Linked DNA regions of Cricetulus griseus. The protein of the gene in region 3 purifies or fractionates together with the protein of the main gene of each other region. This does not show direct contact. Links are inferred from orthologs where the notes say so. Each region holds a gene or a part of one and is shown on either strand. Other genes may lie near its edges.

Evidence for each region.
Region 1: the proteins of Cdk8 (region 3) and Med8 purify together in Homo sapiens (affinity purification with mass spectrometry; 7 studies listed by BioGRID and IntAct, counting the BioPlex papers as one, with this or other methods). This does not show direct contact. The link is inferred for Cricetulus griseus from reciprocal best matches to the Homo sapiens genes CDK8 and MED8.
Region 2: the proteins of Cdk8 (region 3) and Med23 purify together in Homo sapiens (affinity purification with mass spectrometry; 10 studies listed by BioGRID and IntAct, counting the BioPlex papers as one, with this or other methods). This does not show direct contact. The link is inferred for Cricetulus griseus from reciprocal best matches to the Homo sapiens genes CDK8 and MED23.

Annotation. Positions count from the first base shown.
Region 1 is NC_048595.1:33,897,020-33,906,957, reverse strand, and holds the start of Med8 (mediator of RNA polymerase II transcription subunit 8), read left to right. Parts: upstream 1-1,339; 5' UTR 1,340-1,354; coding exon 1,355-1,387; intron 1,388-2,018; coding exon 2,019-2,137; intron 2,138-2,989; coding exon 2,990-3,134; intron 3,135-3,707; coding exon 3,708-3,848; intron 3,849-4,028; coding exon 4,029-4,110; intron 4,111-4,630; coding exon 4,631-4,879; intron 4,880-5,641; coding exon 5,642-5,706; 3' UTR 5,707-5,732; exon of another isoform or gene 5,733-6,703; intron 6,704-9,938. Other genes in the region: KICSTOR complex protein SZT2, read right to left, coding at 288-314. UniProt on the Homo sapiens protein: Component of the Mediator complex, a coactivator involved in the regulated transcription of nearly all RNA polymerase II-dependent genes.
Region 2 is NC_048595.1:244,073,413-244,083,350, forward strand, and holds part of Med23 (mediator of RNA polymerase II transcription subunit 23), read left to right. Parts: coding exon 1-147; intron 148-1,000; coding exon 1,001-1,125; intron 1,126-2,577; coding exon 2,578-2,783; intron 2,784-2,868; coding exon 2,869-3,049; intron 3,050-4,451; coding exon 4,452-4,622; intron 4,623-5,146; coding exon 5,147-5,363; intron 5,364-6,718; coding exon 6,719-6,955; intron 6,956-8,666; coding exon 8,667-8,832; intron 8,833-9,454; coding exon 9,455-9,527; intron 9,528-9,938. UniProt on the Homo sapiens protein: Required for transcriptional activation subsequent to the assembly of the pre-initiation complex. Component of the Mediator complex, a coactivator involved in the regulated transcription of nearly all RNA polymerase II-dependent genes.
Region 3 is NC_048597.1:82,145,182-82,155,219, forward strand, and holds the start of Cdk8 (cyclin-dependent kinase 8), read left to right. Parts: upstream 1-3,890; 5' UTR 3,891-4,036; coding exon 4,037-4,164; intron 4,165-10,038.

The DNA.
Region 1 (9,938 bases), on a different chromosome or scaffold from region 3:
TGGACGCTAAAGCGAAATCAACTCATGCTATTGATTACATTCCAGTTGATGAGCTACAAAAACCCGCAAAGTCGGTCAGCTTCAGCGTGGCCCAATGAAAATCGCAACTAATACCCCAAACACGAAGTTTTGTCATTACAACCATCTCTAGATCTGTGGGTGGGAGATGAGGATCAGGATGACATCTGAGTAAACAAAACAGCTACGGCCTCCTCGAGGCTCCGGAGGGTGGAGGCTGCTACGCGCCTGCCCTCTGGGCCTCGGTCCCGCGCCCGCCCGCCCCTCACCTCTGGCTCCGGGCGCTCCGAGGCCATCACACAGCCCTCCCGCGCCGGCCCGGGCCAGGGAGGATGCTCCACTCCTGACCTCTGACCCAGCTAGCTCGGTACCGGGCAGGAACCGGAAGTCGTAGGGATGGCCGCGTTCTGAGTTTTTTGATTGGTGGGCACAGACGGCGGCGCGAGAAACCGGAAGAGGAAGTGGTTGCGCCAACCGGGCCGTGGCAATGCAGGTGAGAAGCCGGTTGGGCCTCCCAGCCGCTAGCCACCGGCTGGAGGGTGGGCGGGCCGAGGACTCTGGGAAGTTGGAGCTGTGAGGATAGGGCAGAGGCCTCGGCTGTTTGGGGAAAGGCGGCGAAGCCGGAAGGGACGAGGACAGCTGCGGGGGGCGCGGGGATTTAGCGCGCTAACGCCAGAGGGTCAGAGGCGTGGGTTAGGGGGAAAGGCACGGCCGACTTGCTTGACTGTGTGAAAGGATCGAATTGGCATTTGGGAAGGCTAGAGAAAGAAGTGGGCTGGGACAGCCCTCGACCTCGACTGTTGGGCACAGGCGCAACAAGGCTTCAGAAGGCTGAAGGGATTGTGGGCCGCCAAGGACGAAAACTAAGCAGTTTGTAATCCGAGGCTGTGGGTGGAACCTAGTATCCAACCTCATCCTTCACATTCTCGGGTTTGCAAATCAGCTTTGTGTCATTCTTCCCGCCTTGTACCCCGTTGCTTAGGGCGCAGAAGTGGAGTAAATAGACCACAGATGGTCAAACGGAAACCCTCTGCCAACACAGCATTTAAAATTGTCTAACGTCCAGAAAGAATGTGTTGGTTTCCTCGCCTTTGTCTTCCATTACTCAGTTTGTTGCACCTGGTATTCCTACAGTGACTGTTTATGGGTCACCCGAGTTTACGAAAGAGACACTGGAATACTGGCACAGAGATGCAGGAGTACACATTGACTCAGCAAAGGACCAGTTGGGGAGGGGAGCTGCAGAGCTGGTGTTCAGAGACAGCCTCAGATACGGGCAAAATGTGAGATTCTCCAGATTGTGTTGAGAGTAGCTGCACTCACAGGGCAGAGGATAATGGCTTGCATGTACTATAGAGGCACCCATGAGGTAATGAGATAATGAACCTCAGGTGTGCCTTCTGGCCTTATATGCCGACAGCACCCCTGTTACCTTGGCAAACCTTTCTAACATGTACTGAACTTTCTGAAAGAAATGTGGCAATACCAACTCCACAGAATGACACAATACAAGGATTCTCTATATGCCCAAGGAAAGCAGAGTTAGGACATCAAGCAGCTGCGTGGTAGGCAGACTGTTTTCCAGAAAAGGCTAGACTTAACAAAGAAGATTGTGCTTTGGCTTGAGCATCTGCAGATTAAGAGAATGTTGGCTTTTAAGAGAGGCAGTCTTTTGAGCTGGGAGGAGAAGAGAATCGAAGTGAAAAGATGAAGGGCTAAGTGATAAACAGTTCTAAGCCAGTTTTGTTATGAAGACAAAATGGTGAGGTCATAAGCAGAAGGGAATTAGGTCTGGTGTAATGTTCCTTTTGAAGGGCCATAGTGTAGGAGGTTGATAGAAGGAATCAATTGGTAAGAGGACTTCAGGCCAGGTGAACAGGTTGAAAGGTCTAAGGGTTGATGCTGTCTGTAACCCAAATACCAAGATAGAAACCAATTTAGCTTTTCTGTATGTGCCACGATCGCTCGTATCTGAGTAACCAAGCATACTGTTGATGCAGAGGGAGGAGAAGCAGCTTGAGGCATCCTTAGATGCACTGCTGAATCAAGTGGCCGATCTGAAGAATTCACTGGGGAGTTTCATTTACAAGTTGGAAAACGAGTATGACCGGCTGACTTGGTAAGGATTGCCAGGGCAAGCCGGGGAGGGAATCCATGGGTGGTGGGGCCAAGCCCCCGGGCTGACAGGACATCTCCAATGATGTAACTATTTATCAGTTTGCAAATATCCTTTTTGATTTGGCAAGAACTAGGTTGCCCAACATTGACAAGTATAGTTTGGCTTAAAGCCTCCATGGCAAGGAAGTAGAGAAATGCCCAGTTTCCCAACGTAGGCTGTTTCGAGGTTTTAATTCTTACGCTTTGACTTCTTTGGTGAGGAGGTGTTCCCCCAGTGGGGAACCATTAAAGCTATATTCATGCTGGATCTCCTTCCACAGATGTGGCTGAATCTGAGATCCACCCTACTCTGGAATGATGGATTCTGTTAACTAGGCTAGAAAGGAGGCTTTTATCCACTTAAAGAATTTTTAGTTACCACAGTGTAACCACAGTTTCTGTTTTCCACTACCTCCAATCCCATTCAAACAATGAGTTACGACTGGCAGTGGTGGCACACACCTTTAATTCCAGCACTCAGGAGGCAAAGGCAGGTGGATTTCTGTGATTTTGAGGCCATTCTGGTCTACAGAGTGAGTTCCAGGACATCCAGGGCTACACAGAGAAACCCTGCCCCCTCACCCCCCCAAAAGGAAAAGAGTTGCTTTTTTTCTACGTCTGTGTGTCCGTGTTGGAAATTGACAGTGTGCTCCTCTTTCCCAACTCCATCATCTCTGCTAGAAAATCTGGTTCTTGCCTAGGCTAGTCATAGGGCTGTGAGTCTTCTGGGGGTGAGTCTGGGTGTTCCAGCATTAGAACTTTAGAGATTACTTTATAGGGAAAAGTAGTTCTGATGACTTCCTACCACCCGCAGGCCCTCTGTCCTGGATAGCTTTGCATTGCTCTCTGGACAGTTGAACACTCTGAACAAGGTCTTAAAGCATGAGAAGACACCACTGTTCCGTAACCAGGTCATCATCCCTTTGGTGCTGTCCCCAGATCGAGATGAAGACCTCATGGTAAGAAGAAAGGATTGAACCAGGGAAATCAGGTCCTTAAATGAAAGTCTGGAGCACAGTTGTTGATTGGACCCTCTGTATAGCAATGAAAAGTAGGGGCTGCTATCTGGAAGACTTGCTTTTTTGTCCTTCTGGAGTCAGGAGTCACTCTTAAATAATGTTGTGAAAGCCAAGGCCATGTCAACTAAGTCCATGACCTTTCTTTTCCAAAAAAAAGTCTGTTCTGCTTGCCTGTAACTTTGTCCAATCAGTCTTTAAAATGTGGGGTTAGGAATTTAGCTCAGTGGTAGAAAAAAGTCCTGGTTTGGTCCCCAGAATGGGGGTGGGGAATCACGAAAGACCAAAACAAAATAGAAACAACAACAAAAAGAAAATTACAGTGCGGTTGTGGAGGGTGGAATTTATTTTGTCCTAGTTCTGATAGAGTGTATGTGAAAAGACAAAGCCACAGAAAGCTACATTTGTGTCTCAGGTTGTGTTGTCTCTAAAAATGCAGTTTCCCACGGAAGAGAAACTGGGTTAGAATCGGCTTACTTGGATAGCACAATAGGATCAATACAATCTGTGTTACAGCGTCAGACTGAAGGACGAGTGCCTGTTTTCAGCCATGAGGTCGTCCCTGACCATTTGAGAACCAAGCCTGACCCTGAAGTTGAAGAGCAGGAGAAGCAGCTGACAACAGATGCTGCCAGAATTGGTGCTGATGCAGCTCAGGTTGGACTGAGTCACTGCCCTGCTGCCCCATCCCCATCCCTTCATAAGAAGCAAGACTTTACCAAGCCTGGGTAGTAGGAGTCTGTGGTTGGTTACAGCTAGGCTGCCTTTGGAAGAGCACAAGGAAGATGCTTTCCCAGAGTCATTTCTAATCACTACATCAATTCCTGTGTGTTGCAGAAGCAGATCCAGAGCTTGAATAAAATGTGCTCAAACCTTTTGGAGAAAATTAGCAAAGAGGAACGAGAATCAGAGAGTGGAGGTAAGGAGGCTGGTTGGCAGAACAGAGTGAGAACTGTATACGACCACTATGATAGGAATGATAGTCTGTGTAATAGTGAAGTGAGGACATAAGAATGAACTGCTGGGCTGGCAAGATGGCTCAGTAGGCAAATGCACCAGTTGCCAGCTTGACCTAAGTTTAATGCCTGGGATCTGTATGGTAGAGGCAAGAACCAGCAAATTGTCCCCTGACCACCACACACAAAATAAGTAAATCCAATTTTAAAACAGAAGAATGAACTGGCAAGGAAAGGGTCTGTACCCTGTTAGTGTTTTGTGTTTAAGACTAGCCTTAAAGCAAATGAAAGAAATGGACAAAGTGAAAATTAAAGATAGGTTTGGGGATTTTGAGCTCTTTGATGGGCTGGAGGGATTGATTCCAGGTGTTTCTGCAGTCACAACTGTAAGCCCTGGTGGTCATCATTGGCCTCACAGCTGCTGGGTTTGGTTGAGAGTGGAACACACACTTCAGGGTTCTTGTTTTTTTTTTTTTTTTTAAGGTCTCCGGCCAAACAAGCAGACTTTCAACCCTGCAGACACCAATGCCTTAGTGGCAGCTGTTGCCTTTGGGAAGGGGCTGTCTAATTGGAGACCTTCAGGTAGCAGTGGTCCTGGCCAACCCGGCCAGCCAGGAGCTGGTACAATCCTTGCAGGAGCCTCAGGATTACAGCAAGTTCAGATGGCAGGTGCTCCGAACCAGCAGCAGACAATGCTCAGTGGAGTCCAGATGGCTCAAGCAGGTCAACCAGGTAGGGTGATGTGGGCTAACTGTGCAGCAGTGTGGGAATGAGCTAGATTAAGCCTCCTTCAACTCCAGCCTTGGAGATTTTCCTCCTTCCATTGCCACTCAGAAGACAGTTAGAAGCTCTGCAACGGGTACCAGAGAGTGAAGAAGGACCTTTACTTCCATCTCAGATTTTTGTCTCAACTGTCCTGTTTATTCTGGATGTTAGTATGTTTCTCTTAGATAGAGAAATAAGTGACCAGACCTTAATCAAGAATCAACACCTGGCAGTTTCCTGGGATTTTTTTCCTTGCATCCTGTCCCTTGGTCTTGACTTCCTAGCATTGCTCACACACATTTTTACTTACTGTGAGAGCAGTCTGGAGGGCTGCGCAGGAGCAGCTGCAAAGGTGTCTCTGCAGGCTGTCTAGAGAAAAGGACAACTAAAATAACAGAGAACACAGTACTCTTTACCTGTGACACTAAACAGGGGCCACATAGGCCACATGCCTGTCTTTTCCAGAAGTAGATGAGCAGAAGCCCATGGGAGGAGGGGAGAAGGGACTCTTCAGACCCCTTCTGTCTTCTTTCAGATCACCCCTTTCCTTCTAGATATCTTCAGTGAGGGACCTGGCTGAAGAGCCACAGCCTATAATCTCTGCCATCCAGAATCAGAGGCTGCAGAGATTCTGAGATATAGGAGTTGACAGGAATCTGAGAGGCTGCATTTCTGATTTATTGTGAAAGTTTACCTTGTTTCAGATGCCTTTCTTTGTGTTAATTTTAGGGAAAATGCCAAGTGGAATAAAAACGAACATCAAGTCAGCTTCAATGCATCCCTATCAGCGGTGAATGTGGACAGCAGCCTCCACTCTCAGGTGATCTGTGCTGAGTTGAGGAATGAAATTATCTTTTGCTCAGACTTACCTAGATGGGTACAATAAAAAGAACACAGGCTTTCAGCAAGAGACAAATCTCAGCTCCACTGTGAATAGCTATGCGACCTGGGGAAAGTGACCTAATTTTTCTGAGCCTGTGTTCTCATTTGTAAATGGTGATAATACCTACCTCATAGGGTTGTTGTGAGGATTAAAATGAGAAAATGAATGTAAAACACTTAGCATGGTATATGAATTACTGGGCCTTGAATAAATGATAGTTTCTTACTTTTCCACCCTGCTATTCTCTGTCCTGCAAACAGAACTTGCTGTGATTTACACAGCTCCATGACATTGGCGAGCTAATGGATGCAGGATCAAGTAATCCAGGAACCAGGGTAGCCTGCATGTTTTGGAGGTGTATTATTTCTGTAGGCTCTCCTGCCTAGGTTCCATCCTGCTGGCTCCATCCAGGCTGCATGCAAAGAGGTTTCTGGGCTGGGACACTGTCCACCTACAGATCTGATGAAACCAGTTCAGTTTTTATCTGGGAAATGGATAAAAGTGCCCATCTTTTACCCTGCTCTGCTTATGAAGATGTCTAGGGACCAATAGGTGGGAGATTTCCTAGGAGATGGCCCTGTCAGGCAATAACACACATAAAATACCGTCTTCCGCCTTTGAAAGGAATTGGGCTTAACACTGTCATTTATCAGGGTTTGTTTGTCCTCACAGTAACAACTACTCCCTGTTTCTGTCCTCTTCCATTTCACTAAACATGTGGCTCAGATAAGATCCAGATTGAAAGTGGGAAGGGCAACAGCCCCATTCACCTTGCCTGCTTTTGTAGAGTTGAACTGAACAGGCAGCCATGTTGCCTTCCTCAGCGTTCTTTTGTGGGCAAGGGCAAAGATTGAGTCAGCAGAAGTGGACCAAAAGGTTTCTTCGTTCAATAAAGTTATTTAAATTAATGTTCACTGGCTCAGGGTTGTCTGACTGAAATTTATGAATGATCTACCAGGCAATTCTAATTTGTTCTCCTTAAAGTATTCCCTTATTTTTAATTTTTCTTGTATTTAAAAACACAAAGACTTCCTTCCAGCTGCACTATTTGTGTTCTGTTCTGTCACACACTAGCGCTCTGGTCTTTGGTCTTTGTTAAACAGCATTCTACCAGGCTGTGGCAGCAAAGGCCTGGAAAAGTGGTCCTCTGTTGCTGGTCTGTGGAGACATAGGTGGTGTTGACAAAGCTAATTGACCACAACACACTACACCAGGAGAATCCTGTTAACTGCTCTGAGCAATGCCAAATCTTTTCCCCACTTAAGTTGGCTGGCCCATTAGCCCGTCCAGGTGTTGTTTATTTTCTCATCTTTTCCCTTCCCACTAAACATCAAAGCTAACTGGGGTATTGAATAGAATTTAGCTGGACATTTCCAGACTCTCAGAGTATCTTTTGGTTACTGCTAGCCTTTACTCCACCTGTAACCAACCCTGGGCGTCTTCATTGTACCAGCTGAACTGACTTCATTCCCACCATACTATTGAAACGACTGTCTTGTCCTCCAAGAACAGCAATATCTTCCTGCTGCAGGAGGAACATTCAGGTCTCACCTACATCTCTTAAGCAAACACTTTGGTGGTAGAGGCACCCACACTTCTGTTATTTGCTGTCATTTCCACCACCTCCTCTCCTCAAAGCTCCAGACATCTCAGCATACAGACCTGCTGATCTCCCACTTTGGGGCTCATATGCCAGTTCCCCCACAATGGAAAGTATGGAACCCCTACTACTTGGTCTCTCAGGAGTGTATATGGAGTTGCCCATGAAAAAGGCAAAACTATTTACTTGCTCAGACTTGGGTTTTGTAGATGACTTGCACTACTCTAGCATTCCTATTTCTGACCATTGTCTTCTGCTTGGGGAATGTACTTTCTGCTGCATTTGGGGCCCTTGGACAAGGGGATCAGATGGACAAAGGTCTGCTCCATTGTCTCCCAGGTTTGTTCTGGGATGGAGAAAGCAGCAGCAGGCGTGAAACGTCAAGTCTTCCCACAGCAGTTCATCCCACTGAAGGTGGAAGCTTATGGAATCAATGTTAAGCCCAAGGAGGTTGCCTAAGACCTCTCTCTCTAGTTCTGCCCTGAGGCTGGGATTCAGCCATTGCTGATTGCCCTGGTCACCTGTTCTTTCTCTTCTTCCAGTGTGAATTGCTGTCCTATTTAACTGCTTCACCATGCTCAACTATGCTAAGATAGCTAAGCTAGGTAGGTTGTAGGCAAATGTTCCTTGTAGCTCTGTAGAGAGCCAACACTAGCTAGGTACAGGCTAGAGAGGATGTGGTTGTCCACCTCTGACCCTGCTGCTGAAAGGAAGAAGCTGAACTCAGCAGGAATGCCCCGATGTGAGGCCGAGCTCTTTTCCACCCCCCTCCAAACCTCCCCCAAGCAGCTGGAAACAACCTCTCCCTTTGTCTGAGTTTCTTGTACAGAATAATCCTCCTTATGGACAATGTATTCTCTGTGTCCTGTGGACACAGGAGCCGTGTGTGCTGATCCCAGCACTAGGCAGGACGGAGGCTGAAGTCTTCCAAACGCCCACCCTGCTCAGCTCCTGATTGATGTCCAGTGGAACTACTAAGGGTTGGACATTTTTCCTGTGTGCTCCAGATTGGAGCTGCAGCAGAGCCTTTTGTGGCTTGTCACTGGCCAGTAGAATGACCAAGAATTGTGCCCTGAGTGTTAAGCACCAACTTGTAGAGAAAGGTTTGATGTGAATCTTTCCTCAAAGTCTGGAATGTGCAGAGGCTAGCATTTAGAAACTGATAGGACCCCAGGTGACTTGCCTGGCAGGCCATGGTGCTCCATCGTGCCACTTGGACAGCGACATGTACTCTATCCCACAGGACAAATTTCTTTAACAGTATGTCTCTCTTGTTCCTGTCTCCCAGGTGTCACTGAGGCAGACCCTGGGTTCCTCTAATGTCTCTTGTTATGACTCTCATACACTCAGAATGTGAGCCACTACTTGGACACTTACACTTCCTGAGTATGGCATAGACCAAGGCTGTTGAGTTCCTTGGGCCTCCCTTACCTCACCTGAATGATCCCAGTGATCTTTCTAGTCTGGCAGTCTGATGTTGACTCCCAAGGCCACCTGTATGGGCTTTGTCTTTTTTTTTTTTTTTTTTTCCTTGCTGCATAGCTTTGTTACTTGAATAGGGCCAATTTCCTAAATTCCTCAAACCTCTAACAGCTCTTCCTAACATTCTCTGTCATGAGCCTTCTAGAGTAGCAGTTCCCAACCTTCTTAATACAGTGACCCTTTAATACAGTCCCTCATGTTGTGGTGACTCCAACCATCAAAATATTTTTGTTGCTACTTTGTAACTGTAATTTTGCTAGTGTTAAGAATCATGTAAATACTGTTTTCTAATGATCTTAAGTGATCCCTGTGGAAGACTTGTTTGACTCTCAAAGGGGTCTTGACCCGCCAGGGGTTGAGAACTGCTGCTCTAGACTATGCCCCGGCACTGTTTCCTAGCTTCTGTGCCTTTCTCATGAAGATGAATCAAAGAGGTGTGAGGTAGCCGATTGTTAGCACATGCCTTTAATCCTAGGCAGGTGGCTCTCTATGACTTGAGTCCAGCCTGGTCTACATAGTAAGTTCTAGGATAGCCAGAGCTACATAGTGAGACCCTGGCTTGGAACAGACAATCAAACAAAAAGGAGGTGGTGAAGTAGCTGTGGATTTGAAGTTACCTCCCACTCTCAAACATCTGTCTCCTTTGAACAAGATAAATGTATGGAAAGATTTTTCCGGTCCAGAAAATTATACTTTGTGTAACTCTGAAATCCCTGCCTATGTGGCCCATAGTTACTACAGCTTCTGGATGTCTAAACCCAGTCATCCTTCCCTTCATACCTGTTCTCTGGTTTTCCTGGAAATAATCTAAGCCAGGAATATGGGAGCATCCTAACTATTTTTCTTATATGTTCCCAGCTACCTCCCCTGTATCACTGCCAAGCTCTGTTAGTGTGTCTCCCCAACACCTAACCCATCTGCACTAAGTTGCACTTTTGGCCACCCTCAGTGAAAATATTATTCAGACAGTATCCCTACATCTACATCTGGAAACTCCAGCTTCTCTTCCCAAAGCTGCCAGATCTTTCTAGACTGCAGATCTGATCCTATTACTCCCTTGC
Region 2 (9,938 bases), on a different chromosome or scaffold from region 3:
TGAGGCTCATCACAGCTCTAGGGAGCTCGGAGGTCCAACCGCAGTTCACACGTTTCCTCAGTGATCCCAAAACGGTGCTGTCAGCAGAATCTGAAGAACTGAACCGAGCCTTGATCCTCACCTTAGCCAGAGCAACTCATGTCACAGGTAGAGACCATGATCCTGACCTTAGCCAGGGCAACCATGTCACAGGTAGAGACTGTGAGAGCCACATTAGCAGATGAAGTGTCTTGCTCCTCTCAGGCCACAGTGGCAGACTGTACTCAGGAGGTGCCCGTTCTGCCATCTCCATATGATCAGTTAATAATGGAAGCTCAGGGCACCACCATTCTAACTAAGGGTTTTGTTTCATAACTGCTTTCAAACTAATTTGAAATTCCCAAAGATTTTCTTTTTATAGATTTCTATCTATCCATAAAGTCTATTAGTCATTAAAATGGAGAAATTTTAAAAAATAATTCATTTAAAAATACTATAGCATGTGACGTTAGCATAAGTAACATTTATGGGAAAAAAAAGTATTTTCTGCAACAAAACTTTAATGGGAAGTGGTGCTTTTGTTTTGATGTTTCATTGCCCTTCCATACGTGGTGAAAGGAACATAGGTGTCTTCTCCAGTCTGCTTCTGGTAGCAGAAGTATTATCTATTTATGTTGACACTGCTTTGGTTAAAGTGAGAGGCCCTTGTTTTCAGGCACCAAAACCAGACCTCTACTTCCTCAGTTCCATTGTTTTGACCCAGTAAAGATCATATTAAAAGTAAAGAGGAATCAAAAGTCCTTTGTTGTCTCTTCACTAATTGTGCTCATGTTTTTTAATAAAAAATACCTAAGTCCCTCCTGGTTATTTTCAGGGTAAGCGAGTTTAGGTCCTGAGTTACCACAGGTAAATAACAATGACTGTAGTGCACTGAAACACCTCCGAGTACGTGGCTACTTTCTGCTTTCTTGGCATTTTGTATTTGTGGTCACAGAGATCTGACTCACATCTGTTTGTTTAGATTTTTTTACAGGCTCAGACTCAATACAGGGAACTTGGTGTAAAGATATCCTTCAGACCATCATGAATTTTACCCCTCATAACTGGGCTTCACACACCCTCAGCTGTTTCCCAGCCCCTCTGCAGGTAATCTGGTCTGAATTACATATTAAATACACACTGAATCTTCCAATCACAGTGGCTTCTAGGGAGTTAGTCTTTGTGACAGCTAAAGAAAATTGGCTTTCATTTCCTTGTTGAAAATACTTGCTGATGGGGAAAGTCCTTCTGTGTTTGTTTATCTTATTGGTTGTTGAATAAAGCACTGTTGGCCAATAGGGGAGTAAGATAGGTGGGACTAGGAGTCGAGGAGGATTCTGGGAAATGTAGTAAAAAGAAGTCTTGTGATCCAGGCAGGAAGTGACATAGCAGGCAGACTCAGAATATAGGCAGGCACAAGCAGGAAATCACTCTCTTCCTCCCCCTCTCTTCTCTGGAGCCACCATGTGAGCCCGACAAGAGAGGAAGCATGCCGCCAGTGTCCTCGATCAGATAATTCTTTATAAAATATATAGATTAATAATTATGGCTGATACTTAAGACAGAGATAGCAGATAAGAAATCCTAGTCATTGGCCAGCAGCATTGTACCTAATATATAAGTCTCTGTGTGTTACTTAGGACCTTAACGTGGCAGCGGGTGGAACTGGGGAAGCTGGTGAAAAGATTTATTGTTACAAAAATCTCTTGAGTTGCTTCTCATCCTACTGAAGACTACATGTGTTTCTGAAAACATAAATGTTATAGTTTCATTTTTAAAAATGAATAGTTTTAGAATCTCACAAGAGTTAACACATGACCTGAAAAATTCTTTTCCTATCACTAAAATGGAGACAAATGTACTTTAATGAATGTCATAAAATATGTAGATATTAAAATTGACGGTGTTTGGATTTTTTTATCCATACAACAAAATTATAGCTGTGACTTCATAATAAAGAGAAAGGCAAACCTTACATATCTTCTGCTTCTCAGAGAAAATTTATGACATGGTAGACAATGGTGTTTCCATGACTTCTAGTGAAACTACAGCAGTGGTTCTCACATATTAGATTGCTCTGCAAAGCTTTCCAAGCTACAAATTTGTGGGTCCCAGCCTTAGAGCTTCTGGTTGACCGGATCTGGGCTAAGGCTTGAGGACTGGCTGGGACTGCTGGTCTGGGGACCATGATCAGAAGCCCTGGGTTATTGTAATCCATTTTCCTTATGGAGATAATAAAATGCGTAACCCGAGCAGTACACATTTCTTTTTCTTCCTTGTCTCCCTCCTCTCAAAGATTAGCAAAATATGATTGAAGAGACTTTGAATTCAAGCTTGCTTGGAATTTCTGTTGAGGAAGTACAGAAAAAGAAACTTGAGTTGCCAGTAGGCCAGCCTGTACATTTCCTAGTGTAGACATTCAGGCCTTCGTTACTGACTTACTCAAGGGAATTTAGTTTTGTAATGCCAGAACTGAATGCAGAACAGATTTCTCACCTCCATGTGTCCACTGTTCCTTTTACTATGTCCATTGGCATAAACTTTTGCTCTTCCTTTTAGGCATTCTTCAAACAAAATAATGTACCCCAGGAAAGTCGCTTTAACCTGAAAAAAAATGTGGAGGAGGAATACAGGAAGTGGAAGTCGATGACGGATGAGAATGAGATTATTACTCAGTTCTCTGTGCAAGGCTTTCCGCCCCTCTTCCTCTGTCTGCTCTGGAAGATGCTCCTGGAGACAGATCACATAAGCCAGATCGGCTACCGGTAAGCTGAGGCCTGGCTGCTGTCTGCTTCACAAAAGTGTTATCCATATACGAGGAGAGGTTAATTCTCACGCTTTGTCTTCTAGAGTATTGGAGAGAATTGGGGCCAGGGCCCTGGTAGCCCATGTGAGAACATTTGCAGATTTCTTGGTGTATGAGTTCTCTACATCAGCAGGAGGTCAGCAGCTTAATAAGTGCATTGAAATTCTTAATGACATGGTATGGAAGTATAACATTGTTACATTGGACAGATTAATTCTCTGCCTGGTAAGAATAAATAAATTTCTAAGCCTTCTTATCATCCTTTGATCAATCTGTATGAATGGGAGACCACATGCTGATTTCCTCTATTTGGCTTTAAAGACTTTAATGGATTCATGCTGCACTCAGGCTTCCTTAAAGAAAAAGAAATTTCTGAATTCTTCACTCAGTATATATTCAATATTTAGTATTACATTCACAAAGGTACAAAAGTGAATAAAACATATTTTTTTTTTCTGGCGTTGTGATGCTGTGATTCTCAGAGGCTTTCACTGGGGTTAGGAAGTAGTAAAAAGCCATTGCATTTCCTTGTAGCATGCTAGCTAATGTAACCATTCACTTCAGTAGTCAGAATTCAGACTGTTTCCCATTTATACCCAGCATGCTCCAAATGCTCCTTTGCCTCTGCCTATTGGTGTATCTCAAACAAAAGTTGTTTTTTTACCGGGCTTTGGTGGTGCACGCCTTTAATCCCAGCACTCGGTAGGCAGGCAGATCTCTGTGATTTCAAGGCCAGCCTGGTCTCCAGAGCAGGTGCCAGGATAGGCTCCAAAGCTACACAGAGAAACCCTGTCTCGAAAAAAAAGTTTTTTTTTTTTTTTCTTTTAAGTTTATTTTTATTTTTTATGTGTATTAGTGTTTTGCCTGCGTTTGGCTTAGACACCCCATGTTTGCAATGCTCATGGAGGCCAGAAGAGGGTGTCAGATCCCCTGGAGCTTGAGCTACAGGAAGTTCTAAGGAGCCATGCAGCTGCTGGGGATTGAACCCACATCCTCTGGACGAGTAGCCAGTGCTCCTAACCTCTGAGCCATCTCTCCAGCCCTTCAAGGAAAATTTTAAGAAAAGACTGAATTAGAGAATTAGACTGAAAAATTATATGTACACTTTTAAAAAATACAGTAGTGGCTGGGTACATTGGCACATGCTTATGATACCAGCAGATGCAGGGAGATTGTCACAAGTTCAAGGCCAGCCAGGGCATGGTGGTAATATATGCAGTGGCTTAGTTCATTGACATTGACCTCTTTCTGTGGAGCATAAACATACAGAGAGTTGTAATGTAGTAGGGGGCTAAGGTAAGTTGTAATGAAGGGAAAACACTGTCACACAACAAAGGGCATCACACATTACCCTCAATGACACACTGTCAAGGGAAGGTTTACTATAAGTTTACTGAATGTTTAATCTAAACATCCCTAGCCACAGGCATAGTGAACCATAAACAGGCCAGAAAGGGTCAAGTCATCTTTAGGATTGCTGGGAAATTGGTTTGGGGTAGACTAGACATTGAGGAAAATTGTAATACTATTGAGATTTGCTGTCTTAAAATTTAGCCTACTGGGTGGCAGGATCATACTTTTGAACAAATAGGACAATCTCAGTTAATTTTTCTGTTCATTCCCAAAGGCCATGCGTAGTCATGAAGGAAATGAAGCCCAGGTTTGTTATTTCATAATTCAGTTGCTGCTGCTCAAACCAAATGACTTCAGAAATCGAGTAAGTGATTTTGTGAAGGAGAATTCCCCAGAGCACTGGCTCCAGAATGACTGGCATACGAAGCATATGAACTACCACAAGGTACTGGCTCTAACGGGTTCTGCCTTGCTCTGCAAAGCAGCTTGGGGGTTGGGGGTTGGGGGGCACTCGATTAGTTGTAAAGTTATGCTAATGAATAGGATTAAATTGTAACTGCACTTTTAACACACATGGTTGCATATAAAGTGAAGAAAGCTGTAATAAAATTAATACAGTGTGTCTCTGGGGAAAGCTAGGGTGTCACCGATTTGCATATGCTTAGCACATGCCAGTTCCCAGCACCAAAAAAAATCAAAGATTGCTATTTTTTTAAAAAAATTAATATTTATAGTCCAGTGGTGGTGACACATGCCTTTAATTCTAGCATTTGGGAGTCAAGAGGCAGGAGGATCTCTGAGTTCGAGGCCCGCCTGGTCTATAGAGCAAGATCCAGGACAGGCTCCAAAGCTACACAGAGAAACCTTGTCTTCAAAAACAAAACAAAAAGATTAATATTTTCATTTTTTCTGTAACTCTTTAAGCATGCTTTTCTAAGATACTCTAAATGTCTGTCCCCTCACCCACAGAAGTATCCAGAGAAGCTGTATTTCGAAGGCCTGGCAGAACAGGTCGACCCTCCGGTGCCAATCCAGTCCCCCTATCTGCCCATCTATTTTGGAAATGTGTGTCTCCGGTTCCTTCCAGTATTTGATATAGTAATCCACAGATTCTTAGAGTTGCTTCCAGTGTCCAAATCACTGGAGACCCTTCTGGATCACCTAGGGGGCTTATATAAATTCCACGGTGAGTTTGTTCATGTTTTCATTCCATCTAATATCCTTTATGAGCAGACAGGCTGGGCTCTGCCATGTGGTAACAGTGGTTCTGCAGGTTTTAAAGTGCTGGAAGATAAGTGCAGTGAAATGATGTCAAAGATATGGTAAGACACACAGAGCAGGGCGATTTGACTATCAATAAAATGTGTCTTGGCAGGCCTCTGAATTACAACTTGAACTTTTGATGTAAATGATTTGTATGAGCAAGAGGGGTGAAAGAATATATGAGTCATTTTTTGGGGAAGACCCTGGTGATAGAAAAAAGGGCATATTTGAAGGAAAATTGCTTCATTAGACGGAATTAAGAATGTTTACCGAGGAGTTTCAAAGGAGACTGGAAAAGGAAAATATACTTGACTGCATGATCACATTAAATGCCAGTTTGGGTTTTAGAGCCTGAAGATGGTGGTCGGGTGGGGTCACTGAGTGGGACGTGAGCATGTGAGCAGTGTTTTAGAATACTGCCCTTTCAAAGCTTCCTCACAGCACTGGTGTAGAGTAGCCTCTCAGAAGCCGTGGGCTGTGACTAAAAACATGAGCCAGGAACACGACTCCCTGTGTGGCTGGTGCCTGCTTAGGAGACCACTGAAACCGTGGCCTTACGACTGGACACTGGAGCACGATGCAGGCCGTGAGAGACATGAAAGGCTCAGGGTAACCACAGCAGAGAAAAGCTGTCCCGGGGCAATTGTTAGTCCTTGATCTACAGTCTATGCAGAATAAGTGTCGGGTTCAAGGAAGAATGCCCTTAAAAACAGTGCTCTTTGGGTGTGGGAATGCGGTGTGTAATGGGTATGCATGTCTCCAGAGCTGGCTGTAACTCTGAGCAAGCACTGTTACAGTTGCTGAGGTCCCCTTCCTTAGATGCTGTTCTGGTTTCTTGCTGTTTGTCTCTGTAATAAAACCCTGTTCTGTACCAGGTTCTTTCTCCTGTTGCCTGTATTAAGGTTGACTCTTAATGTCAGTGCGTAAAGACCTGCCTCTCACTGTGACCATTTCCCAGTCCTATGTTTTTTGGCTGCTTTAACAGTTGCTAACCTTTTGCAAGTGGGAACAGGGCCGTAGCTGACGTCAATTTTTGCACAATAAATTTACTGAGGTGAAATTGTTCACTCAGAATAACTACCATCCTTAAATACTGCGTATATTAGTAGGACTTTTCTGGCTGACTGGGATTAAAGAACTCATCAAATGTAGTTGTTCAGCCCGTGAAGTAGTGTCACAATCTTCTTAGTTGTTTTCATGTAGTCTTGAAAACAACCAGTTCACTTTTAAACTTGTCAATAACCTGATAAACACGATGACCTGTTTTCTTCTTGGCAGACCGACCAGTGACTTATCTGTATAATACTTTGCACTATTATGAAATGTGCCTGAGAAACCGTGACCATCTCAAACGAAAACTTGTCCATGCAATCATCGGCTCCCTCAAAGATAACCGGCCACAGGGCTGGTGTCTCAGTGATACTTACCTGAAGCATGCTATGAATGCACGGGAGGACAATCCTTGGGTTCCAGAGGACTCCTACTATTGCAAGCTGATTGGCCGACTGGTAGACAATATCCTTTCTTCTGTCATGTTTCTTCACTCATTAGAAATAGTAGTACTTTAGCTTGTGAACTGTTTTTAAGGTAATGTTTTATGTATATCAAAACCTCATTTTTAGTTTCTTTTTTTTTTTTTGAACAGAGCCTCTGTGTTGCTCAGGCTGACCTTAAACTCCTTGCCTCAAGAATTACAACTGCAAGTGCACACCACTGCACTCCCCTTCAGTTCTTCGGGTGGGTGGGTGGATGGGTGGTGGGTGTGTGTGTGTGTGTGTGTGTGTGTGTGTGTGTGTGTGTGTGTGTGTGTGTGTGTGTGTGTGTGTGTGTGTTCTGAGACAGTCCAGCTATGTAGTTACAGCTGGCTTGGAACTTGCTGTGTGGACCAGGCTGGCCTTGGACACACAGATCTGCCTCCTAAGTGCTGGGATTAAAAGTGGCCTTAATGATTGTCATCTCCTTTTGAAATCTTAAATTGCATCATTATACCAGATAGGTGGGAATTTTCTCTGTTGCTATTCATACTTAAGAACAGACTTTAAAGACATTTGTTTCACAGTAGGAACTCTTACTTCAATTTCGTATACTATGTCTTACAGTGCAAGTATGTAGATGGAGTTTTTCTGTGTCATGGCAACCGCTCCCAAATAACCACACAGAGACTTATTGATTATTAATGCTTGGCTGATAGCTTCGGCTTGTCTCCAGCCAGCTCTTGAACTTAAATTAGCCCATTTCTGTTCATCTGTGTGCTGTCCCCAGGCTCGTTTACCTCATCTGTGAGCTCCCCATGTTGCTTCTTCCATATCTGGCTAGTGACTCCCCAGACTCTGCCCTTCTTCCCAGCATTCCTCTGCCCCCAAAATGCCTAGCTATTGGCATGTCAGTTCTTTATTAACCAATGAGAATAATACATATTCAGTTACACAAAAAGGTTATTTCACAGCACAGGTGTCCATTTGCTCCTGGAGAGCATTAGTCTTGTTACTTTAAAAGAATCCTTTAGAACCAGCTGTAGTGGCACATACCCCTAATCCTGGCACTTGGGAGACAGAGGCAGGAAGACTTCTAAAAGTTCAAGGCTAGCCTGGGCTGCATAGCAAGACCCTACCTTAGTTAGAGAATTAAATAAATAGTAAATCCTTGAGTACTTTCAAAACATACTGCTGTTAATAGACAGTAGTTAAGCTTTGAACTAAATAGCTGTAGTGTTGATGTTTTTATTTCTTCAGTTTGATTTCATGTGTACAGTTATGAGCAAGTCTACATAACATGTCTGTATACCATACCAGTGTTGTTTTCCTAAACAGGGGAATATATTTCTTAAGGTAAAAGAATTACACATTTAAAAGTAATTTTTATGTGAAATAGTCCTATAGCTGTAAAAGAAATAGCCTGAAGAAGCCTGAGGACACCTGCTTGTATGTGATCCTGTCTCCTGCTTGTATAGTGCCTGTTTTAAGAGCCATCTGTAAGAGCAACCACTTGTGTTTTCTGGGTATTGCTCAGTGTGCTTCAGTCATGTCATACTTACCTTGTGTTTAGTTTGTACTGTTTATCCTGTTATGTATTAATTGCAGTAAGTTACTTCTTGACAGCCCATAATCAGATAAGTGGATAATCAAATGAGATGCCTTCATTTAAAACATTGTGAGATCTGTAAACATTATATAATTGTGTCGTTAACCTCAGAATATTCTAAATGTTTTTCCTTAATCATTTGCACCCATGGCTGGCAAGTCTCCTGGGCCCTTCCCAAACTGTGACTGGAGATTCAATGAGTTCCCCAACCCTGCTGCCCATGCCTTGCATGTCACTTGTGTGGAACTCATGGCCTTGGCAGTTCCAGGCAAAGATGTTGGGAATGCCCTTCTAAATGTCGTCCTGAAAAGGTCTGTGTCCTTTTTCATGTAGTAAGAGTTGGTTTATTTCTGAAGCTGTTACTGTCGGGCAAACCTGTGCCCCAAATTGAGCACTGTGCATAATACCCGTCTTTTGGTTCCCAGTCTCATCTCCATAGTGTAAGTGTAAGAGAATGAATGATGCTTGGATTTGGAAGAGCGAGGTTTGTTCACATTGATGCCTCTTATCACCTGCTTGTCACTAATTAACTTGTCACTAATAAGTCTCTACAGATCCCCAGGGACAGGGGATGTAGCTTGATTTTAGAGCACTTGTCTAGTAAGTGCTAGATGGTAGGTTAAGTCCCCAACCAAAACCCCAACCCGCACAAAAAGTTTTCTTAGAAGATCAGCAAAAAAAGTAGGAAATAACGATTGGGAGAAAGTAGAAATAAGTTCAAATAGTCTTTTCAGCCCCATAACTATTGTTAAAGGACACACACACACAGGACTTATTTTGTTTGTATTATAGTTTTTTTCAATTAAATGTCCATTGTTGTTTGGAGTTGATCAATTGTGAATCTTCTTAATCACTTTTGTTTTCAAAACAAGATCCTTGGTCAGTCATATAAAATGTTTTAATAATTTTACATTTTTTTCTGTCTTCTTGCAGTCAGCCCTTGGTGCCAAGAGAGAACATTACAGCATGGATGAACGCAATTGGTTTGATCATCACTGCCCTCCCGGTGAGTTCCTAGCCGTGGTTTGTACATCCCAGTGTTCACTGCATGGTAGTGATGCTGTGAACTCACTGTTCACTGTCGACCCAGACAAATAGGTGTACACAGAGTGAGCCTACAGTGGGATAGCGTGAGCGTTAATGAACGGTTTCATTCTTCAGTCTTCCATACCATTACTTTTTAAAATATTATAATGAGCTGGAGATGAAGCTCATCTAATGCATGAAGCCCTGGGTGGGAGATCCAGCAGCACGTGAACTTGGTGTGGAGGCACACACCCATAATCTCAGCACTTGGGAGGTAGAGGCAGGAAGATTGACGTTTTCAGGCCATCCTCAGCTACAGCATCAGTTTGAGGCTAGCCTGCGCTACCCGAGGCCCTGTCTCAACACATACACACAGTTCTGATCACTATTC
Region 3 (10,038 bases):
TAAAATTATCCGGGATTTTAAAAGTTAACAAATTATATTTTGCTGATAAAGTGAATTGATACTACCAGGTGCACACTTTTGATCCCAGCACTCGGGAGACAGAGACAGGCAAAATCTCTGAGTTCCAGGCCAGCCTGGTTTACACAGTGAGTTCCAGGACAGCCGTTATTAAATAGAGAAATCCTCTCTCTTAAAAAAAAAAAAAGTTATGGGCTGGAGAGATGGCTCAGAGGTTAAGAGCACTGACTGCTCTTCCAGAGGTCCTGAGTTCAATTCCCAGCAACCACATGGTGGCTCACAACCATCTGTTATGAGATCTGGTGCCCTCTTCTGGTGTGCAGATATACATGAAGCAGAATGTTGTATACATATTAAATAAATAAAATCTTAAAAAAACATTATTATACAATATTACAATGTGACTCCTATTGAACTTTCTCCCTTTTTACTATAAAATAAGTAAGGTTTGATTATGTAAATAAAATTTTAAAAATTAAAAGTACCTTATACTTACAAAATCCTTGGAATCCTGAGTTCTCAGAAGTCTGACCTCATTTTTGTACATAAACAACCTTCCCCAACTTCCATATAATTTTATTAAAAGGGAATTTTATTTTATTTATTTATTTTTTGGATTTTTTGTCTTAATTTTTTATTTAAATTCTTTGATTATTACTCATATTTACATATCCATCCCCCCCATTCCCTCGCCCTCCCATCCTCCCATGTTCCCCCCACCCCCACTCCTCCCCAGGGATAGTGAGGCCCTCCACCAAGGACCTTCAAAGTCTGTCATATTGTTTGGGGGGACTCCTTGCTGTATCTGGGCTGCAATAGTATCCCTCCATAGGGGAATTTTAGTTACTATTATATTATTACCCAATTTCATCTGTAATGTAATTTTTCCACTTACTTCACAAAATTGAAGTTTGCTCCAATACACTGGATAACTGGGCATATCAAATTGTTACCCATAAATAAAAGAGTAGCTTAGATATTAAGACCAATCTCTCCTAAATTAGAACTAACCCTTTTCTCTCTAAATTTATTTATTTATTGGGTTTTTTGAGGCAGGTTTTCTCTGTGTAGCCCTGGCTGCCCTGGACTCTCAATAGACCAGCCTGGCCTTGAACTCACAAAGATCCACCTGCCTCTGCCTCCAAGTGCTGGGATCAAAGGCGTACGCCACCACTGCCTGGCAAACTAATCACTCTTTATGAGGTTATATTTATAAAATAAAATTGACTTTAAAAATCCACTAAAATTAAAAGGTAATACTTTAAAATTTTCTAAACATCCAATGAAATATTTCATAGAGTAAAAAGCAACATAGACTCAAGGGAAACATGACCAACTGGTTTAAAATTACAGGGTTTGGTTGGTTTGAATAAAAAGACCTGATTTCCTCTGTCTCTCTGTTGTATTTACATATTTGGGTCACATTGCATTTTGTTTAGTTTGTTTGAGACAGGGTTGCTCTGAGTAGCCCTAGCTGTCCTGGAACTCACTCCATAGACCAGGCTGGCCTCAAACTCACAAAGATAACCTGCCTCTGCCTCCCAAGTGCTGAGACTAAAGGTGTGTGCTACCACTGCCCAGCTTATACTGCGTTCTTAATTATTGTTTTAAAAAATATTTGTTTTTCATTTTATATATTAGTGTTTTGCCTGCATGTATGTAAGTGCACCATGTTTGTCAGTTCCAGAAGTGGGTCCTGGAACCCTAGAATTGGAGTACAAACAGTTATGATACTCCATGTGGGTCCTGGGAACTATACCTGGGTCCTCTGTAAAACCAGTAAGTGCTCCTAACCACTGAGCTACGGCTCCGGTCCCATTCTGGATTATTTCAATTGTAGGTGGAATATCCCTATTGTGTTTTACATATGTCAGATGTGGAGGTGGGAGGGGAAAATTAGATTTGGATAATTATAATTAATAGATGTAACTTGATTTTATCCAGGTGGGTTTTGTTATTGTTGTTTCCTTAATGTCTTTACTAGCTACTTGTCTCTCCTGAACCCTGCCTTTCTTGCCTATTCATCCTCACCCTTATGAGATTCTAGAGACAAACCTTCCTCACAGTGTGCAACATATTAGGCTTCCACAACACAAAGGTGTGATGCTTGGCCAACAGGGGGAGCTGTGAACCGAAGCCCCGCCCCCCCCAATCTGCATCTTCGTTTTGATTAAATCTTTCTAGGATACACAAGCAGACCATTAACTCCCACCAATCCAAAAGCTAAGAATTAGCCTTTAGAGGACGTGTAAGACCATTAGCAGATGCATTCTTGCCTTCTATCACCAACGTCCTGGATGTTTCCACCAATGTGTGTATACGTGTTCTTTGTACAGGTGTAAGCATACATGTCTGGAGGCTAGAGGTTGATGTCTGTCATGGAACCTTGAGCGCACCATTTCAGTTAAGACTAGCTGGCCATCCTGCTACAGAGATCCCGCCTTTTCTGCCTGCCTAGCATTAGTATTACAGGCATACATATACATGTATGGCTTAAAAACAAACAAACAAAAAAGGTGCTTTAGTTTCTTGATGATTGACTAACCTGTAAGTTGGTATAAATCATTTTCTCCCCAAGTTGTGTGCAGACAGGGTGTTTATCGCAGTAACAGAAATCAAACGACAACATGTGTCAAGCTTTTTGTCATCTACCATTACCCCCCAGCCCCCTTCACTGTTTTGTTCTCTTGGTATAAAATTGTCATTAAACTGTTAACAAGTTGGAATTTATGGTAACTTAAATTTATGTTTCTAAGCCGTCGCCACTCATATTTGGCTCCACAATAAACTCTTATTGTCTTCGAGGTGATAACTGGGTTGTTTTTTGTTTTTGTTTTTTGTCAACAGACTTAAATGAAAACTAGGGTTCAATCTTCAGTGCAGTGAAAATAGCTTTACCTGACTGGAAGTATAATGGTACGCTTGCCTAGCAAGTACAAACCCCGAGAACTTCATGAAATATACAGTCAGGTGAAGGAAGACAAGCCATGAATACAATTACGTAGTTTATTTGTAGTATTAAAACCTGGAGGCTTGGGGGGGGAAGCAGCCATAATGCCGTTTAAATCCTGAAGTTCAGAAGTGACTCCAATACAAAATAACCCCCTCGCTAAACAGTGTCTTTTGCTAAGCTTATATGGGTTAATTTAGATTGCAGAGATAACGCTTTGGGGGAAAAATAATCTCCATGCAACCGAAATTCGTTGCGTGATGGACTACCAATACCATCATGCATCGCTCTGAATTCGCGGCGTCGAGGAAGAGGCGGCTACAGCAGGCACCCGGGCATTCTGAGCCTTGTAGTTTCTGGCCGGGCTACCGACTGGGTTGGTCCACGTGGTGGTGAGTCTGTCAGCAGCTCCGCACTGCCGCCGAGCGAGGCCCTTTCGCGTACCGGCGTCAGAAGGGGTGGCTGCCACCTCCTGAGCCACTCGCAGATGGGGCGGAGTCAGCGCGAGGCTTCGCGACCTTTTTTACGACAGCGTCTGCCGGGTTCCGTGCCCGCCCGCCCTCCTTCCCTCCCTCCCTCCCTCCCTCCCTTCTCCTCCTCCTCCTCCTCCTCCTCCTCCTCCTCCTCTCGGAGAAGCTACCGGCTGTTGTGTGGCGTCGCTGGTCTGTCGGGGCTGATGGCACCCTGAGTGTGCGTGAGCGCGTGTGGGAGAAGGTGAGGCTCGGACGCGCGTGGGCGAGGAGCAGAGCCAGCCGTGGCCGCCCCGCGCCCGCAGCAGCACGCGCGGCCAACCGCGCGCGAGAGCCGGCGCCCCGGGAGCGCGGGACAAGGGCGGACGCTGCTCCCCGCCCCCAGCGCGTCCCTCGGCTGTCTCGCGCCCGCGGGGACCGCCCGGCGCTCCCCTGGATGTCCCCGGCGCCCGCGCGGGGCCTCCTGCCGTCGCCGCGTGAGGCGGGCTGGTGCTGCGGCCGGCGGGTGTAGCTCGGGGGCTGCGGCTGCCGCGCGGCCCGGTCTCCACCGCGGCCCTCGGCCCCCCACCCCAGCACCCCGGCCTCGGAGGCTGTGACAATGGACTATGACTTTAAAGTGAAGCTGAGCAGCGAACGGGAGCGGGTCGAGGACCTGTTTGAATACGAGGGCTGCAAAGTTGGTCGAGGCACTTACGGGCACGTCTACAAGGCGAAGAGGAAAGATGGGTGAGTGTGGGTGTCGCTGCGGGAGTCCCCGAGGCTGAGAGGCAGGTGGCCAGCCAGGGTGCCACTACTTCTGCCTCTGTCCCGGTCAGCCTGCTTTGGGGAGGAAGTGGTGTCCCAGGAATCCAAATACACAAGAAACCCTGCGTGCAAGAGGGAGAAGGACCGTCTGTCTCATGGGCAGTGTTCCTTTTTTTTTTTTTTTTTGTGGATTTCAGTACAGTGTTTTTGTTTTTGTTGTTGTTTTTTTAATCGTTATAAAATGCCAGTTCGAATGTGTTTTTCTTTGGTCGATTTATCACGGTAACCTTTTGGGGACTAACTCACCCGCCTCTGGAGTGATGTCTATCAGTCTGGAAGAGAAGCCGAGATCTTTTTCTCTTATCAATTGTGAACAGTTGACCAAATTTGGATTTGATGGGGGAAAGAAGACAGCGAGTGAGTGTGGGACTGGAGAGTTCCATGGAGGATCATCTGTAATGTAAAGTAGCAGTTGCTATTCAGGTATCATTAGCTGTGAGGTTTTATATAGAACAATGGGGATTTGGTGCAGAGTGGATGGGGGGGGGAAGCAAGTGACAGATAATCGGGGCTATGTTGTGCAAGCTCTTTAACCAGAATTTATCAGCTGCCAGTGAACTTTAAATAATCTTTCCTGCTTCAAAAATTCTCCCCTAGAAACAAGAAATAAACCTATGACTGGTAATGCTCTTAATTTTGCTTCTTAACAGTAAATAGAAGCTCTCATTTTTTCCTTTGTCAGTAGATGACTGCATTGTAGTATTAACAAAAGGGAAAGTAATTGTTAGTTGGGGAGAAAATCTTTATTAATTTCCCGTTTTCTCTTGTACAAATAGGTATTATTTCTGTTGCCTTTGACACTAGGAAATTATTGGAAAGATTGTCATAGCTTATTATATAATCTTTGGGGTTTATTGGAAACAGCTTTCCTTGAGCATCCCTTGTTTGACTAGTTGCTATTTTACTATTTAGAAGACTTTTTTTTTTTTCATATTCACAGGCGTGCATATTCAGAACTGCTTTAGCACTACAAAGTGAAACCTTAAAGTTGCGGGGAGTTCTTTCCAAGGGAGCTTGTTTATAAATACTTTAGTAGTCTGGATAATGGAAAAGGAAGTGTCAGTTTATTAAACACTTCTCCTTATTAAGCCTTCTTATAATGTATTTCAGTGCTTTTGTGCAAAAATGAAACCACGAAGATATGGGCAGAAGGTAGTGGTGGAAAACTTGGTGTTCTGGGTGCTGTGTGGCTTTAAATGGATAGCAGTGAGTGGCATCCAGAGCCCTTGCTGCTGATTCTTGTCTGACTAGATTTGTTTTGTCAACATTTTATTAATGAATTATATTTAAAGAAATCATCTGAATTTGCAGCAAAGTTTTCTACAGAGGGTTAAAGCATCTTCCATCCCTCAGTATCACATAGTTTGAAACATGGTCATAACATCTCCACTCCCAAGACATTTGATATGGTGTAGTACATTGTCCAATCTGTTGTGTTTTTAAGAATGCTAGTGATTTTTGTGGCCCTGTGAAAGGAGCCAATTCTGGCTTCATACATTGCCAAGTTAGGCTAATAAAATATCCAGATGTGTTTGATTGTGGGTTTTTTAAGTATATGATGTATATGCAGGGGTTACTTTATCTTTTACATCTTGATGGTAAGTTTTCATCTAGGATGTTAAGATTAATTTCAGAAGAAATTACATATCTTAAAAATAGCTGATGTTAAGCACTCAGGAGACAGAGGCACTCAGATCTCTATGAGAGATCTATGTCCTGGTCGCTAGTTCCAGGACAGCCTCCAAAGCCACAGAGAAATCCTGTCTCAAAAACAACAACAACAAAAAATAGCTGGTGTTAGTGTGTATTTCTTAATCACTTATGGTAATTGCAATTGAATATTTGCATTTGGTTTTTTTTTTAAGCTTTTATGTTTTGGGTTTGTTTTCCAGCAGCCTTGAATGATTCTGTTTATTGTGATGGACTTTGGTAATTTTTGTAGTGAATCAAATGCCATGGGAGTTTTAGAATTAAAACAGCTGTGATTGTAGACCACTGACCAGGCTAACCTTGAAATCAGAGATCCATTTGCCTCTGCTTCTTGTGGTGGCACTTGAGACACCATGGTACTTGGTCTCACAAAAGTATTCTTAATCTGAGCTGGGCCGTGGTGGTGCATGCCTTTAATCCCAGCACTCAGGAGGCAGAGGCAGGTGGATCTCTGAGTTGAGGCTGGCCTGGTCTACAAAGCTACACAGAGAAACCCTGTCTCGAGACACCCCCCCCCAAAAAAAAAAAAAACCAATCAATCCTATTATCCTCAGTTCATATATGAGGAAACTAAGCCGTTGAAAGTTAAGCAGATTTGTCCTGTGAGTAGCAATGTCAGTTAGGACCTGAGAATGTCCTTGCGGTGTATATACTCTGGAGCACATCCCATGTCTGCCCCCTCCCCCCCCAAAAAAAAAAGGATTTCTCTGTGTAACAGCTCTGGAACTTGGTTTGTAGACCAAGCTGGCTTGGAACTCACAGAGTTCCTGCCTGCCTGTGTCTCCTGAGTCCTGGGACTAAAGGCATGGGCTAAAATGGAGCCCATGCCCTTAACCACTTTATTTCATATAATTAGCTTGAAGACTCCGGACAGCATCCCTGTCTGCCACTGATACCTTAGATACAATTGAATCTGCTAGTTGATATGGCCCAAGATGACCTGGAACTCACTCTGTATGTAGCTCGGACTGGCCTTGAACTTAAGCAGTCCTCCTACTTCAGCCTCTTGTGCTTTTTAATTTTATTTTGTGTATATGAATGAGCACCACATATATGATTGATTGAAGTCATGGATGGTTGTGAATCATTATGTGTGTGCTGGGGGTCAAACCCAGGTCCTCTGCAAGAGCAACAAGTAACCTTAACCTCTGAATTTTTCTGCATCCTGAGAAATTGGGCAACTCCCAAAGATGCAAAAGCTACCCAACATTCGTTTTGTCACCTTGGTGTTGGGTTAGTTAGTACCTGCTCCCATGGTTGTCTGTTGTTGGGGAGTCAGCACAAGGGACTCTAGATTCAATGTTTATTGTAGTTTTGAGTCTTTGGATAGTTTGGATGTGCATTAATGAGTGTTCCTTACAACCTTTTAAAAAAAAGTGATGGGGCTGGGCAGTGGTGGCACATGCCTTTAATCCCAGCACTGGGAGGCAGAGACAAGCGGATCTCTGTGAGTTCGAGACCAGCCTGGTCTACAAGAGCTAGTTCCAGGACAGCCTCCAAAGCCACAGAGAAACCCTGTGGAGGGGGGGGAGTGATGGGAGCCAGGCAATGGTGGCATACACAGAAGCAGGCAGATCTCTGTGAGTTCCATGCTAGCCTGTTCTACAGAGCAAGTTCTTGGACAGCCTCCAAAGCTACACAGAGTTTCTATCTTGGAGAGGGGGTTAAAAAGAAAGAAAAAAAAGAGTGATGGGAAGGGACAAGAGTAATATTTATGGTGCATGTCTTACCCACATGGCATCGATTAGTACATTTTTAGCTCCTGTTTTGAGTCATTTTCCAGGTTTAATTCTTTTTTGTTTGTTTGTTTTGTTTTTTGTTTTTCGAGACAGGACAGCTGTGTAGCTTTGGAGCCTATCCTGGCACTCGCTCTGGAGACCAGGCTGGCCTCGAACTCACAGAGATCTGCCTGCCTCTGCCTCCCGAGTGCTGGGATTAAAGTCGTTCGCCATCACTGCCCGGCTTGTTTGCAAGGTTTAACAAGTTAAGAAGTCATTTGGGGGGTTGGTCGATAGTAGTGCACACCTTTAATTCCAGCACTGGAGAGGCAGAGGCAGGAGAATCTCTGTGAGTTTGAGGTCAGCCTACTCTTCAGAGTGAGTTCCAGGACAGACTCCAAAGCTACACAGAGAAACCTTGTCTCGGAAACCCCCCCCCGCCCCCCAAAAAAGAAGTCATTTGGAAGTTTTCATGTGAACTATTACTTTGAGACTTCTAAGATTTGAAAAACTCATTCACTTAGCTATTGGGCCACTCTGAATCATTGGAAAGGCGAAGAATTGAAACGTTGCATTATTTGAGGAATTATCTCCTGGGAAAACAAACTTGTCAAAAATTATAGCAATTTTAATAAGTACTATAATAATGTTAATTGTAATTTGGAGAAGGAAGCTCTGAATTACTTTGGGGTTTTATGGAGAAAGCAATGTTTGGTTGGCTCTTGGAAGATGAGAAAAGTTGGGTCATTCTGAGAGGAATAGCAAAAGTGTGCTTTTGATTTTAATTTTGTTTTTTGGTTTTTTTTTCCTGCAAAGCCCTGTGGGTGTGTAGGCTTTTCTTTGCCATGCCTTTCTGACTTAGTTTCTTTTGTGCCTTGCAGTGTGTGTTGTGTGTGGCTGTGATAAGGTCTCTGGTTATTTTTGTCAGTGGAGCTGTATTTATCTTCATGTACCAAACAGCTTATTTGTGTGTTTGTAGCAGCTTTCCATCAGAGCACTGTTGGCCATGCAGTCCAGGTGGCCTCTCGGATGCAGGAGCTGCCACACACAGCTTTGCCAGTAGCTCTGGCTAGCTGGCCTCACAAAGAGCTGGAGCTAGGGTTCTGAGGAAGCAGTGGTGACTGTAGATTGAGGTGGGTGAGATTCGTTCTCTAGTCAAAGGTTTGGGAAACAGTGGAATTTCTCTGGTTGGCACTCTGATGTGTGGAGAGACCAGAGATAGGGACTGGATTTCTCCTATACCAGATTTCAGCTAGGAAATTAGAAATAATTTTTAAAAATGATAAATTATTATAGTTGTGATAAATTATTTGTAGTTGTGAATTCTGATTTACAAACATTTGAAGTGAGGCATTATTTGTTAGTGGGAATGATATATGCCAAATTGGTGACATTTTATTCTCTGTGATTGGTGATACCTTTCTTTGCAGTGCCTTTTTAACCAATTCTAGTTGCTCTACTTTTTTCTGTCCTTAGCTCCTGCTAGAAATAAATATACTTACTATTGTCCTTTCCTTCATATTAGTTGAGGTAGATGTTGGCCATCACTCATTACTTAGACGTTACTATAAGATACTCTTTGTCACCGTAAGAAATGTCTGTGTCTAATTGATGGCATTCGCTTATTGTTGTAATTTGTTTTTATTGTTCTTTTTAAGTTATGTGTATGCATGTAGTTTAGTATGTAAACATGAGTGCTGGTAGGTGGTTGTCATCCACCATATGTTGCTGGGCATGAACCTGAGCTTTTTACAGGAGCACTACTTGCTCTTAGCTGCTGAACCTTCTCATTTCTCTAGCCCCCTCACCTGCTATTTTGACCTTAATACTTGAAGACTTTTTGGTGCCAATGATTTTTCAGTATGATTCAAAGCAGTTATCAAAAGGTTCAAACTGGAGTGCTTGCTATGCAAGCCTGACCTAAGGTCCATCTCCAAAATCAGTAGACCATCAGGGAAGGAAATAACTGACTCCTTCAGGTTGTCCTTTCACCTCCACATGAGGCATGAATGCACGCACACATGCACACGTGCACACACACAAATTAAAAAATTTAAGGTCTCCAAATAAGCCCCTGCTGACATAAGCTGCCTTGATGTAATCTATAAAATTCAACCTTCTCACTGTTTTCTCAGGCTGTGTATCTGTTAACACTGTCCCATTCCAGAACATTTCATCCAGTAAAGAAGCTAAGTGCCCGTTACTAGTTATTTCACATCTTCTCTTGCAGCTCCTTTTGCCTTTCTTGGGATTAAGTTATACTGCATTGTGTGAATATGCCACATTCATCAGTTGGACCACTTTGGGGCTGTTACAGATGGTGTTAATATAAATGTTCATGTTTGAGTTACTGTGGATGTGTTTCCAG